2 linked regions of the Rattus norvegicus genome follow. The main gene of each other region encodes a partner of the protein of the gene in region 2 in a complex. Links are inferred from orthologs where the notes say so. Each region holds a gene or a part of one and is shown on either strand. Other genes may lie near its edges.

What was found. The genes of interacting proteins can lie anywhere in the genome.
Region 1: Stub1 (region 2) and Hspb8 share a complex: the UniProt entries of both Homo sapiens proteins name them as parts of the chaperone-assisted selective autophagy (CASA) complex. The link is inferred for Rattus norvegicus from reciprocal best matches to the Homo sapiens genes STUB1 and HSPB8.

What each region holds. Positions count from the first base shown.
Region 1 is NC_086030.1:45,849,832-45,852,545, reverse strand, and holds the end of Hspb8 (heat shock protein beta-8), read right to left. Parts: intron 1,590-2,714; coding exon 1,430-1,589; 3' UTR 607-1,429; downstream 1-606. UniProt on the Homo sapiens protein: Involved in the chaperone-assisted selective autophagy (CASA), a crucial process for protein quality control, particularly in mechanical strained cells and tissues such as muscle. Displays temperature-dependent chaperone activity.
Region 2 is NC_086028.1:15,354,755-15,359,127, forward strand, and holds Stub1 (E3 ubiquitin-protein ligase CHIP), read right to left. Parts: upstream 2,806-4,373; 5' UTR 2,703-2,805; coding exon 2,541-2,702; intron 2,120-2,540; coding exon 1,921-2,119; intron 1,838-1,920; coding exon 1,672-1,837; intron 1,639-1,671; exon of another isoform or gene 1,507-1,638; coding exon 1,419-1,506; exon of another isoform or gene 1,236-1,418; coding exon 1,179-1,235; exon of another isoform or gene 1,093-1,178; coding exon 976-1,092; exon of another isoform or gene 898-975; coding exon 772-897; 3' UTR 524-771; downstream 1-523. Other genes in the region: Jmjd8 (jmjC domain-containing protein 8), read left to right, coding at 39-106, 186-320, 399-479. UniProt on the Homo sapiens protein: E3 ubiquitin-protein ligase which targets misfolded chaperone substrates towards proteasomal degradation.

The DNA.
Region 1 (2,714 bases), on a different chromosome or scaffold from region 2:
TAGTGTGACTGAATATATAAAATCAATTAGCTGGAGTGTCTTTCACCAAGTAAGGATTCAGAGTCACTGTCCCAGCTTGATTTCTGTTGCTGCGATAAAACACTAACGAAACCTAATTGTGGGCGGGGAGGGGTACTTGGCTCGTACCCTTCCGCTGTGAGCCAAAGCAAACCTTTCCTTCCTTAAGCTGCTTTTGTCAAAATAATTTTTCACAGCAACCAGAAAAGTAGCTATGACGTCATCCCATCCTCTTGGGCCACCAGGAATTGGACTCTGGACAGACGTATGACCTTCGACGTCCCTTTCACCCCAGCCTTCTCCTCCCTACATTGTCACAGGAGGATGGATTCTAGCATCTGTATTTCAACCTCGAGGACAGACTATGGCTGTGTGGAGTCACCACAAAGGGCGTAGACCAAATACAGGAAGCAGAACGGCAGAAACAGCTCTGCCGGCACATCTGAAGTTCTTGTGGAGTAGGCTTGAAGCATTTATACCGTCCTGCCCGCTATTCATTGAGAAATCATTACTTGAGGCCGTAGCATCCTGATAGTGTGTGCACCTCGGTGATAGAACATTTAGTTGCTCGATAAATGAAGCACGGAGTGCTAAGAACATCAGCTCCTTTATTATGAACATTATTATTTACTCTTATCTTCCCCCTAAACAACAGCTCAATTCACACAATGAAGACACCCCCACCCCCACATACACAATACCACTAGCCTGCGTGCCAGGCTGTCTGACCTTTGCTTGGTTCCTGGTGGAGCTGCCTGAAGACAGCTCTCTGTAAAAACCTGACTTGGACACAGGGGACACAATAAAGGGGACCTTAGCCGGAGAATTAACTGAGGGGCTCCCAGAGTCCTTGGTGGTGATGGTTTGAGAGCCATGGGGTCATGCTGTGAAAAATCCAGACTGTGTTTTATGTGGATAAATCCCATATGGGGATATAAGACCTATCTATAACCTCTTCTAGACAGAGAGTTTAGAAACACACTGAGGTAAGCCAATGAGTCCCATCAACCAAGCCACATATAAGGAGGGCCCAGAGCAGGGGATCTGGGTGGTGGGAAGGTCCCCAGAGAAAAGCAAGTCTTGCGTTAGCTGCAAGGTAAAAATGTAACATGAAATCTTCAGTCCCCATTTGCTTGTTTTGCAACTATAGACCGTGTGGTGTCTTCACCCAGACAAGGTGAAGAAAAACCTCCCAATACTTTGACCTAAGGCAACCAAGCGAGGCGGGCCCATTGTGTCACCCTGTGGAGAAATCTACTACTACATTATCCAGGGATGGTCATTTGGTTCTCCCTCCCATCCCCCAACATCTGAGTTGCCTTAAATCTGAGTGCTGCTAAAGTCGTCTACCCTCAAATCAGAGAGTCCCTGGGGCAGGGGCCTGGAGCAAAGAAGGACCAAGGCTGACGTCTTAGGAGCAGGTGACTTCCTGGTTGTCTTGAGGAAGCTCGTTGTTAAAGCTGCTCTCTCCAAAGGGTGAGTAAGGAGGGACCTGGGGAGCCTCAATGATGAGCAGACCCTCTGGAGAAAGTGAGGCAAATACAGTCACTGGATCCACTTCTGCAGGAAGCCTGGGAGAGCAAAACACAAGATCTTACCCACTGATTGTTTTTAAACTAGCTGAAACTACTGTATTCGTTGGAAAGAAAATGTTCTTTTGCATGTTTGTATGTGTGTGTGCACACCCGTGTGCATGCGTGTGTGCACATGAGTGTGCATGTGTGCGTGTGTGCACGTGCGCACCCAGGCATCCCCCCTCCCATCAGAACCTGATTTTGGGAATCTTCCCCTATTGTTTGCCTTCTTATTGTTTGAGGCACAGGGTCTCTCACTAAACCTGGAGTTTGTGAATTTGGTGAGGCTAACTAGCCTTTGGGCCTCAGGGATACTCTATCTTTCCACCTCGGTTACAGACGTGTGTGGTCGCACCTGGCTTCTATGAAGGTGTCCCGATCTGAACTCCGGCCTCGTGTTACCATCTTTTAAGAGTCTCGTTCAGTAAACCACGTGAATCCAAGCCTCTGTTTCATAGATCATGAGACCCGCGGGTGGAGATGGCAGAGTCAGATAAACTTGAGTCAGAGAGCACCAAAGATGGGATCTGTGTTTTCAAATCTGATTCTGCTTCTCAGAAGGACTTGGGAGGTGGGAGGAGACAGCCTCTTGCTGAGCCCTGGCTGGCCTTAAGACCTTAACTTTTAGACCTCCCGAGGACTGTAATTGTAGGCATGTGTCACCCCACCCAGCTCTAAGAATTAAAAGATCTTTTCTTTGTTATTTGGTGGGAACGAAGCTGCCCAGTATATGATTTCTTCTTCCACAAACTCGAAACCATGAGGGCATGTTAATGGTTTCCTTGGAATGCCCATATTAGTAAGAATACAAAAGCCCATGACCGGCTGAGCCCTTTCAACATTTCGGGTGTTGCCTCAGATTCGGTTGCTAAGAATCCCGCCAAGAAGGTCCTATTACCATCCCTACTTCACAGGCAAAGATAATGAGCTTCGAGGTGGTTACGCTTGGTGTTGGCAGATAGACTCAGAACTAAAATCCTGGGCTCCAAAGAGCATGTTCTCCTGCCTCCCCTGGTACCAGTCACGTGAGGGAAGGACAGAGTAGCCAGGATCATCAGAGACCTTCCCACAGGCCCAGCTAGCTCTGCCTCTCCAGGTTGTGAGTAGGACGCTCCCTAGAGG
Region 2 (4,373 bases):
ATATTTTGTTCATCAGCTATTCACAACTGACCCCACAGGAGCTGGATCTGGGGTACCCTTCCACTGGCATGGGCCTGGTTTCTCAGAGGTTATCTATGGTCGGAAGGTCAGTGCAAGGGTGGGGCATGAATTTGGTGTTTGTAGTCCATAGCACATGAGAGTGACCTTAACATTCCTGCCTCCAGCGCTGGTTCCTCTACCCTCCTGAGAAGACACCTGAGTTCCACCCTAACAAGACCACGTTGGCCTGGCTCCTGGAAATATACCCATCTCTAGCCCCATCAGCTCGGCCTCTAGAATGTACCATCCAGGCTGGTGAAGTCAGTAGCTGGTAGGTGGGGGTTGGGCTAACCCAAAAACTAGGGAATCAGACTATTTTTCCGTGCCCCTTCTCCCAGGCGCTGTACTTTCCTGATCGGTGGTGGCATGCCACACTCAATCTGGACACCAGTGTCTTCATATCCACTTTCCTTGGCTAGCCAACAAGCGACTGGCAAGCCCACTGCACCAGCACATGCCAATGTAGTGCTCACAGACTTTATTACAGGACAGTGGCAGCAGCAGCAGCAACCCACCCTCACCAGCTCTCCAGCCCAGAAGGGAGACAAGGGAGGCTCATGGCCCAGCAAGGGATATGCTGAGAAGGGGAGCAGTTCAGAACCCATCATCAGGACCGATGGGGGCAGGCCCAGGGACACAAACTATATACAGGGACTGGAGCTTCTGCCTCCAGACCCTCCTGGGCCAGGGTGCCAGGCAGGACATGGGGTATCAGTAGTCCTCTACCCAGCCATTCTCAGAGATGAAAGCATCAATGACTTCCTTCATGGCTAAGTTGGGGATGAGCTGTTCCTGGGTCAGAGGGCTCCGGGTCACAGGATCGAAATGGCCCACGCGCTGCAACGACAGAGTCAAGAGTATTCAATGGCCTGAGTGTCCCCTGATCCCAGTCCCGAGACCACAGGCCCTCCTTACCTGCAGGTGCTCCTCAATGTCCTTGCGGTCATAGGTGATGCCACTGGGTGTAATGCAGGGTTCCCGCATCAGCTCAAAGCTGATCTTGCCACACAAGTAGTCAGGGATATCTCGCTTCTGCAGCACAAGAGGGAAATGTCTGCAACTGGAAAGGAAGTCACCATACCAGAGCCTGCCCATGAGCTTCAAGGCTCCGTCCTTACCTTTCTTTTCTCATCCACCTGAGAGAAGAGCTCATTCATGTCCGCCATGTATTTATCCTGCAGAGTTGAGCGCCATGTGTGGGCAACTCCTGTCTCCTCCACACAGACACACACACTCTGTCCACCGGGGCACTCATGTCATGCATGGGCCAACAGAGCCACCATAGGCTGGGGCACTTCTCATGCCACACACAAAAACACACACACAACGACCCACATGTGGACTAGGGGCACCCTCACGTGCTTGGCCTCAATGCAGGCCTGCTGGGCCCTGATGTGGCCATCATCCTCATCACCCTCGTGGTTCCGCTGACACTCTTCCAGTTCCCTGAGGGTCAAGAAAAAGCCAGCTGGTGATGGCCCCAACAGGGAAATGACAGATCCCTTCCCATCTCAGGCCTCTTTCCTCCCGGGCTTCCCATGTACCGGCTGCTGTCCTTTAATAAACACTTGCACTGTTGACTCGGTGTTAACTGTTGGGGGCGGGACCCACCTCTCTCGCTCAGCAGCAATGAGCCTGGTGAGATAGGAGTGCAGCTCACTCTCCTGGTGGATGCGCCGTTCCTCGATACTGTTCCAGCGCTTCTTCTTAGCAATGCGAAGGGCACTAGGAATATCATCCCCAAAGTTGAGTCGCTGCTCCTTGGCCAAACTATAGGCTGGGGGAGTGGACACTTTAGGTTACACTTGTCAACAATCCTGGCCCCAAAGGTGCCCACAATCTGGCATCTTGTCAGCCCACCTCGCTGCAGATTGGCAATGGCCTCATCATAACTCTCCATCTCTAGCTGGCACTGCCCCAGGAAGAAGTGCGCCTTCACAGACTGCCCATCCAGCTCCAGGGCTCTCCGGCAGTCAGCAAGTGCCTGTTCAGGCTGCTGCATCTTCAGATAGCACAGGGCCCGGTTGGTGTAGTACACTGCCACAAGTGGGTTCCGGGTCTGGGAACCAAGATCAGGTGACAAAGAATGTGGGCTCATCTGATCCCCTCTCTAATAGCAAGCTGAAAGCCAATGATCCGGACAATTCTCCAGCATTGGGGGCCCATGGGTGGAAGAGAGGAACTGGAGATTTCCGAGTTATCAGAGCTCTGGATTCTAGCCATGCTCTCTTGCCTCCAACTGTTTTTGAGAAAAATCCCAGAACCCCTCCACCAGCTTTAGGCTTGGGAGCCTCAAGGGGCAAGAATTTCTGGTGTCATCCTTAGCTTGCCTCAATCAAGCATCCCGCCCGCCAGTCCCCAGTCAATCTGCCCTGGATTCGGGAACAGCAATCCGGGTCTAGGCTGCCAGAAATCGTCCGGGAATCACAGAACTGGGAGGCACATCGGGCCCCGCCCCCGCCCCCGCCCCCCGCACTCACGATGGCGCGGCCGTAGCAGGCCGCCGCCTCCGGGTACTTGCGGCCCACGAAGAGCCGGTTTCCCTGCTCCTTGAGCTCTTGCGCACTCGGGCTCTTATCAGGGCTGCCGCCGCCACCAGTGCCCAGCCGCGCGCCGCCCTCCTTTTCCTCCTTGCCCTTCATGGCGCCGCGCGGCACGGCTTGGGCTCCGCGCCCGGCCACCTAGATCTCGCAGCCCGCGCAGCTATCAGCTCCGCCCGGTCGGCGATCCGCCACCGGAACTTCCGGTGTGGGGCGGGGCTGGCATGGGGACACGTGAGCAAAGGCGGAGCCTCGCGGATTGAGCGGGTTCGCTTAGCCCGGAGAAGCTACCGCTGCGCTCTCTACCGGCCCCGCCCTACAGTAACTAGGACCTACCCTCAATATTCAGACCAAGGCTCCGCCCATTGGCAGTCAAGCCCCACCCTCCGGCCCACGCCACGCGAACGTGGCAGCGGTCCGTGCTGGAGAAGTGGCGCTCCGAGGGCCGGTCACTAGGCCCAGGTCCTAGCGCGCCACCGGGGCGCACGCGGGCTCATGCGGCAGCCTGGGAACGTCTAGACCGCTGGTAGGACGGCGGAATTGAGGGAAGGAGAGAGGCCCGCAGGTCAGACCACCCTCGAGAGGCTTCCTCGGGAATCGGGAGAAGCTGCCTGCGGCCATTACTGGCTGAGAAACAAGCACGTGACGCGTTGACTCGAAAGGACCTGCTGCGGTTGCTATAGAGGTAGCTGCGGGTCCGCGGCTGGACGCTCCCCTTCTGCGGTCATGGGGCGGAGCTTCTTCAAGGGCGGTGCCAGCAGGTTTCCGTGGAGAGAGCCTGCACCAAGACCCTTTGACCCCAGGTCTGTAGATGAGGCATTTTTAGCCGCTGCTGCATCAGCTGTTGGCCGCTAACATCCCCCACCCGGGACTTGGAGAAGCAAAACTCGGCTTTCTGCCGATCTGTGCGCCGCAGTCAAACTTCGCTGCGTGGTTTCTGCCACTGCCTCGAGTGAGTAGGGAGCATCTTTGCACAAGTTGGGTGGGGGCTCTAGGAACTCAAAAAAAAAATGTCCCCAGAACCTCCTTGTCACTCTTTGCAGTGGCTACAGTTCCTGGCTTGCTAACGCTGCAGCATACACTCAAGTACTACTTGCTGTTTCTAGCCCAGGTGCAAGAGCTCACTGCATTTCTGAGCAGGGGCCTGAGGGGTCACCCAGGACCCCATCATGGTTCCGATGGTTAGTAACTCGACCCCAGAACTCTTGTAGATCTCTAGTGCCTTAGAGCTGTCTGTAGACGCTTCATCTTGTGAAGAGAGCACTGCAAACTTGGACTATGGGCAGATGTATGCCCAGACCTGCTGCCTGAACTTCACCCCAACTGGTTCTCCCATAAGGACTATAGACCTGCCAAGAATTACAGGACCCAGGCCAAGTGAACCTGGCTCTGTCTCGGGCTTGCCTTTGGAAGGGAGGCTGCAAGAACCGGGATTGGAAGCTCTTGGAGCACAATAAACGACTGCTGAACTTGGACTGACCCGGAAGTCCACAGTCTCTTCCCAGGGGCCCCACCTCCTGTGGATTCCGTCCCTGGCCAGGAGTGAAGCCACCACCTCATGCAGGTGCAGAGCTTCAGGGGAGAGAGAGGAAGCACAGACCCTGGAGGGGGGGCGTCTCATACAGCCTGGGTGAGGGGGCAGACAAGCCTGCAGAGCCCCAGGACAGCTACCTGGTGCTGTGTAAAATATTTATTCATTCTCCAAAAAGGCTCAGACTGCAAGTCCTGGGAGGGGTCGGTGGGGAGGGAAGGGAGCTCCTCTAGGGCCACATT